Canis lupus familiaris: one gene and its partner. The protein of the gene in region 2 interacts with the protein of the main gene of each other region in a pairwise test. Links are inferred from orthologs where the notes say so. Each region holds a gene or a part of one and is shown on either strand. Other genes may lie near its edges.

Region 1 (3,564 bases), on a different chromosome or scaffold from region 2:
GATCGAGGCCCCACATCGGGCTTCCTACAGGGAACCTGCTTCTCACTCTGCCTCTGTCTCTCATGAATAAATAAATAAAATCTTAAAAACAAAAACAAAAACAAAAAAACCCCTGGCACTTCAAGTCCCCATTTGCCTTTTTTTTTTTTTTTTTTTTTTTTTTATTCAGAGAGAGAGAGAGGCAGAGACACAGGCAGAGGGAGAAGCAGGCTCCATGCAGGGAGCCCGTCATGGGACTCGATCCTGGGTCTCTGGGATCACACCTCCGGCTGCAGGCGGCACTAAACCACTGCACCACTGAGGCTGCCCCCCCCCCCCCGCGTGCCCCCCCCCGTTTGCTCCTTAATCTAAGTGGAAAACACAGAAAGGGGCAAAGTCTAAAATGGGAACACAGGAGCTCTGAGATGCTGAATTCTGCCCTGGCAACGGATGTAGGGCATTGGTGCACCCCAGGGGGATATGAGGATCAATAAAGGCCTTAGGCTACCTCACACAGAATGAGTTAACAGGGTCTATAGTAACTGATTTTTCTGAGAGTGGGAGCCCTCTGCTGGAGGACTAAGTGGCCCTCAGGCTGGGAGTCAGAGGGACTAGAAAGGAGCCTGAGTGTTTTTACTCAGGGCCATAGTGTCCCACCCCAAGAGATGGAGGGAAGAGGGAGCAGTGAACACCCATGCCTTTCCTCCCACCAAGCTATTTACCTTCACAAAGGTGTTGACAGCCATGATGGCCATGTCCGGCTGACTCTTGGCGTAGTTCATCAAATACAAGTACACCAGCTTCTTCAGCTCCAGGTTGTCTGTCTGCATACAGTTCACCACGTCAGGAAAGAGGGCACTGAAAAGTCAAAATGGCATGAGCGTAGTTAAGGCTGGAGAAAGAAGAAGGTTTTTCAGAGAGCTAATGGGGGGTCTGGGAGGTGGGGTGGGGGCGCAGAGATAGTGGATGGGAGAGAAAGAAAAAGATAACAGGACTTCCTAGTAAAAGGGAGGACATCAGCTATGCTCTGTTAACCATGAACACTTATTGGTAGTAATGGAATCGAAAAGGTGATTTGAAAAGCAAAGTCCTCTGTTCTTTTCACGGGATTCATTCATATACAAGCTCTACAGCCTATCAGACCTGGCTCAAAACCAGCTCTGTCTCCTTCATCCCCCCACAAGTTTGTTCACCTCCAGGGAAGGTGTAAAAAAACCCCATTACACAGGGCCCTGTAATATTTAAAGAGGGCACCATACTCCAGATATCTGGTCTTTGACATCCGAGAGGTGCTAAATAGATGAAAACAATTGTTTTCTTTCCCTGAAACTTAATGCGGCCCCCTTATATTGGGCTGCTGGTTCCAGATGGTTGTAGGGAAGTGGGAATAGGCATGTTCCTTTCACCAGAAGGGCCAGCTCAGATGCCCACTAAAAACTAGCTCAGCATGTATGGAGCATTTGCTCTATGCCGGGCTTTGTATGTGTGATCTCATTTAACAACCCCAAGAAGCCAGTGTGTTATCTTCATTTTACAGAAGACAATATTACGGCTCATAAATGTCAAATAACCTGCCTGAGGAGCCAGCTCTGGTTCTAAAGCCCATGCCCAGGACTGCTGTTATTCTGGGTGGAACCCCTCCCAACACGGTACCCCAGAGTCCCAAACCCCCTGAGATGTGAAATATGCTTAGAGGTCAATTTCCTTCCTCTCTCTGGCATCATTACCTCCCCTCTCAAGGCTTGTGACTTAATGGTCGAGGACACAGTAACAGAGACTTAAGAGGTCAAAGTGAGCTCCCTGGACTCCCTTAGAAGGGAACCCAGTTGATAATGCTGACCTTGATGCATCACCTTGGAAGATGAAGAACCAAGAAGAAAGAGGAAGGTGAAGAGGAGAAACAGCTGATGGGCCTGTCACATCAGCACAACAAGTTCGCTTGAGACAGAAGAACAAAGGTGCTTCCTCTGTGAGGAGGTGACAGCAATGTTCTAGTTGAAGGAGAATGGCTTTGTCCTGGAAGGATGTGACTTGGAAGGAGGCCTAATTTTCCAGCAGACGCCTGATCCTTTTGCCACTCTGTCTACAGCAGGTCTCTCTGCAGAACTGTTTCTACTGTGGTACTGTTAGGAGGTCCCTTGCTGAGGTGGCAATAGGATAAGGCAATCCACAGAGAAGTCTGGAGAAGTGTGATCCTGATGTGGGATCCAGATGAGGAGCTGCTCCACATCAGTGCCCAGGCCTATGAGTCAGGAACTGGGCACCATGAGGGCATAGAGGAGAGGGTATGGGTGGAAATGCCCTGGATTTCGATTTCAGAAGAGCTGGGCCTGAGTCCTAGTTCTATTAACCACGTGACTGCTGGGCAGCCACTAGACCCTTTCTTTACCTGGTTTCCTTGGCAGTAAACACATCATTACCTGCAATATAGGAATTGTAAAGAACTGCTAGAGAACCTATCTGAAAGTTTTCTGCTTACTCTCAAATACTGTGCAACTCTTAAGTTGTTGCAAAATCCAATCCTCCTCCTTGGGGACTGTATGACATGGTGGGCAGGTAAACACAAGTACACATAATAAAAGGACAGTCAAGAATTAGTGCCAGGTGATAGGAACACAGAACAAATGCTGCACACTCAGGGGGGTGGGCTGGGGTGACGAGTGAAGGCAACAGAGACACCGTGAATGGGGTTTAAGAGATGGGAAAACATGCTGGTAAATGTAAAAGGGGAAAGGGACATTCTACACAGGGCAAAAGTGTGAGCAAAGGTGAGGCAGCATTCTACATATGATTTGCTCTGGCAATCAGATGCAAAGCAGAGGCTGCAAACTAGTGATAAATTCGATAAATTCCATCTGCAGGTGTGTGTTACTGTTACTACAGTATTTGTTTAATATCATCTTGGAAACCTAAAATAAAGAGATTTAAAATGAAAAATCCTGATTTCTTATTTTTAAAAAAAAAAACCAGACCTGCCCAGACTGGGTTCATTCTCCCCAGCTGGCAGCAATCCTTTGGAATCTCTGACAGGGTTCTGCTACATCCACTTCATTTGCTTGTTACCTTTTTGACCTTGCCCACTTCACTTACTCTCCTGCCACTTCACCCCAGCAGCATGTGAGCATAGGACCCCTCTGTAAACAAAACCTTCTGTTTGGAAAGGTGGTTCATGAAGGGAGCTATAACAAGGGGAGACACAGGTACCTAGAGATAATGTCAATGAGAGATCTGAACTAGACCCAAGCTTTGGAGCCCCGCTCCTGCTGCCACCCGGCCTACGCCTGCACACCTGACATCTTTGCCCACGGTCATTGACGCAATCACTTTCTTTACCGCCTCCTTCTTCTTCTCCTTCTTGTCACTGTTGAGCTCTGCCTTCAGCTCGAAGATCTCCCCTAAAAAAGGAGGCAGGTATGAGTGATCCACCCCCACCCTACCAGGGGGTCATTCTCAATCCCCAAATTCCAAAGGATGGGAGGGCAGAGGCAGGTAAGACATTCTGTGCTACCAGCTGAGGGCAGCTTTAGGTCCTTGGCCTTCATGACAGAGGCAGTAGAGAGGGACAATTCTGAGGAGAGGAATCAT
Region 2 (3,564 bases):
CAAGATGAAACCAAAAACCTGAATCGTATAACCGTTAAGAGGATTGAAATTTGTAGTTAAAAATATGCTGAAAAAGGAATGCCTGGGTGTATCTGTTGGTTAAGCATCTGACTCTTGCTTTTGGCCTAGGTCATGATCTCAGGTTGTGAGATTGAGCCCCACACTGGGCGTGGAGCCTACTTAAGATTCTCTCTCCCTCTCCTTCTGCCCCTCCCCTCTCTTAAAAAAAAAAAACCTGAAAAAGAAATTTCTAGACTCAGATAGTTTCACTATCAAATAAATTAATTCTACCAAATAAAATTAAAAATATACAATTTACGATACCTTCAAAAAATGAAATACTTAGGTATAGCTCTAAAGAAAATGTATAGGTAGTAAAAACTACCAAATGTTGATGACAGAAATCAAAGATGACCTACCTAGAGAGAAAAAGACACATACAGCGTTTTTGGATTGTGAAGCTTAATATACTAAAGATAACAGTTTTCTTCCATACTGATTAATACAGTTATTTAATAAAATAACAATTAAAATCCCAGTAGGATCTTTTTGTAGATAGAGACAAGTTGATTCTACAATTTTATACAAAGGGACTAAATAGCTACAACAATTTCAAAAAAGAAGAATGTTGGAAGAATCACATAATCTGATGGAGACGTAATAAAGTTACAGTTATCAAGACAGTGTGGTATTGGCAAATAAACAGATACACAGATCTGAGGCCAGATATAGACTTGCATGAATATGGTCGATTGCTTTTTGACAAAAATACAAGTGCATTTAATGGAGAATGGGATGGTTTTTTCAAAAAATTATATTGGAACAACTGCAAAACACTGTTCTACATGCAAAAATAAATGCATATAAACCTCGTACCTTATGTAAAACTTAACTCAAAATGATCATGGATCTAAATGTAAAACTACAAAACTATTAGAAGAAATTCAGGAGAAAACCTGTATGACCTTAGATTTGGTGATGAGTTCTCAGACATGGCACCAAAGGCACACATCAAAAAATCGGTAACTGGACTTTCTCAAAGTTAAAAACTTTTGTCCTGTGAAAGATACTGCACCAAAAGAATGAAAAGACAAGTGACAGACTAGAAGAAGACATCTGCAAATCACATATCAGATGAGAGATTTATAATCCAGAATATATAAAGAACTTTCAAAATGCAACAATCAGAAAACAAACAACCCAATTTAAAAATACTCAAATGACATGAAAAGACACTTCTCCGAAGATGATATGTGGATGACAAAGGAAGCACATGAAGAGGTGTTTAACATCATTAGCCATTAGGGAAATTACAAATTAAAGCCATGATAAGCTAACACGACACACTGATTAAGATGGCGAAAATTAAAACACCGATCAAGGATGTGGAGCAACCAGAATGTTCATCCACTGCTGATGAAAAGGCAAAGATGGTGCAGTCACTCTGGAAAACGATTTGGCAGTTTCTTATAAAGTTAAACATACACTTACCATATGACCCAGCAATCCCACTCCTGGGTGTTTTCCCTAGAGAAATGAAAACTTCTGTCTACACATAAACCTGGATGTGAAACATTTATAGCAACTCTATTCACAACTGCCCAACACTGGAAAAAAACCCAAAAGTCCTTCAATAGGTTGAATGGGTAAACAAGGTATGCTTCAGGATATAAAATAAATATAAGAAGAAACAAACTTCTGGTAAACGTAGTAACTTGGATCTATCTCAAAGACATTATGCTAAGTGGAAGAAGCCAGGGACGCCTGGGTGGCTCAGTGGTTGAGCATCTGCCTTTGGCTCAGGGCGTGATCCTGGGATCCGGGATCAAGTCCCACATTGGGCTCCTTGCAGGGAGCCTGTTTCTCCCTTTGCCTGTGTCTCTGCCTCTCTCTCTCTCTCTCTCTCATGAACAAATAAATAAAATCTTAAAAAAAAAAAAAAAAAAAAAAAAAAGGAAGAAGCCAGACTCAATAGGCCACATACTGTACAATGCCATTCATAGGACAATCTCAAAAAGACAACATTCTAGAGTTGTCCTCCTTATCTGCAGGAAATATGCTCCAAGACCCCCAGTGGATGCCTGAAACTGCAGACAGTACCAAATCCTATATATACTATGTTTTTTCCTATATAGATCTCTAATAAATTTTAATTTATAAAATTTAATTTATAAATCAGGCACGGTAAGAGATTCACAATGAATTAATTGTGACATGGGACAATTAGAACAATATACTATAATAAAAGGTAAGTGGATGTAGTTTCTTTCTCTCTCAAAACACCTGATTGTACTGTTACCCACCGTTCTTGTGATGATGTCAGAGGACAAAGCGCCTACATGACAACGTAAAGTGAGGTGAATGACATAAGCCTTGTGATGTAGTGTGAGGTGGCCACTGACCCTCTGACAATAGTCAGGAGGAGGACATTCTGACTGAGGACCATGGCTGACTGGGGAAGAGAAACTGTGCAGTGCCAGGGACTGGAGTGGTGGCTGCCAGCAGTGGGGGGAGAGGCGGAAGGGTCAGACTGCCGAGGGCGGCAGTAGGGAGGGCTTAGAGGGGATGTAGCTCCTGATTATGGCACTGGGGTACAAAAATCTGTACATGTGCAGAAATTAACAGAAAAGAAGGTCAATTTTATTAGTGAAAATTTAAAAAATAAAAGGAAAAAGCAAACATACACAGTCAAACAACAATAATAAAACAAGTTGCAGAACCACATCCTACGCTCTCGGCTTCATGGAAAGAACAGTGCATGTTTGTGAATTTACAGAATGAGGTCCAAAAGGATGCTAATAAATCTTAAATGAGGTGGTCTTTCTGAAAATGGAACACTCTGCTAACTCTCCACACTGCTTTAAAGAGTGACAGCCACGATGTGTCTGCATTGATTCTAAACAGGAACACAAGCTAGTGGAGAGAAAAGAGGCTCAGCCATGAGTGGCCTAAGCTGAACCCTGCTGATCTGCTGTCATAAAGAAAGTAAATGTCTCTCAGCGCCTTGCTAGTTTTAAAAGTCCCAGTGCTTTTATTTCAACCATGGAAAAGACAAAATTTTTCTGAAAGAAAAGGAAGGAAAGGAAGCCTACCAAGAGGTTGACAGACTCGATGACATCCAAGAACACCTCATTCTTCCGGTACTTGATGCCCTCGGACCGCCAGGACACTGCATTGGTGACAGTGGCTGGGGGCCTCGGGGCCCCCGTCTCCAGCTTGTGGCCTTCCTGAGTGATGTACCTGTGGGACCGTGCCAAGAGTTAAGGAGTTCAGGCACTGACATTTTGAAAACATTCCCTCCCTAGAGCAGGTTCCAGAAAAGGCAGGCTCTGGTTTCACCTGAGCTGTTTAATACAAGAATATCTTACAATGTGTCCATAAAGCCCTGACAAACTTGAGTTACAATGAGCATAGAGTGTTCATTTTTCACTTGAGGGATGGTGCAAGGAGGGGACCTGAATTTGCTCTTCTGCTCGATGTGCAGAGGGGACTGACCCTTGGGGGAGAAGCTGGTGACCCCAATACCACTTGGGGAACAACAGGTGTGAGATGTGGGCCAGTTAT

Evidence for each region. The genes of interacting proteins can lie anywhere in the genome.
Region 1: the proteins of AP1M1 (region 2) and AP1B1 interact in a two-hybrid assay, tested with the Homo sapiens proteins (2 studies listed by BioGRID, with this or other methods). The link is inferred for Canis lupus familiaris from reciprocal best matches to the Homo sapiens genes AP1M1 and AP1B1.

What each region holds. Positions count from the first base shown.
Region 1 is NC_049247.1:23,074,073-23,077,636, forward strand, and holds part of AP1B1 (AP-1 complex subunit beta-1), read right to left. Parts: intron 3,375-3,564; coding exon 3,269-3,374; intron 838-3,268; coding exon 702-837; intron 1-701. UniProt on the Homo sapiens protein: Subunit of clathrin-associated adaptor protein complex 1 that plays a role in protein sorting in the late-Golgi/trans-Golgi network (TGN) and/or endosomes.
Region 2 is NC_049241.1:46,687,767-46,691,330, forward strand, and holds part of AP1M1 (AP-1 complex subunit mu-1), read right to left. Parts: intron 3,241-3,564; coding exon 3,093-3,240; intron 1,528-3,092; coding exon 1,492-1,527; intron 1-1,491. UniProt on the Homo sapiens protein: Subunit of clathrin-associated adaptor protein complex 1 that plays a role in protein sorting in the trans-Golgi network (TGN) and endosomes.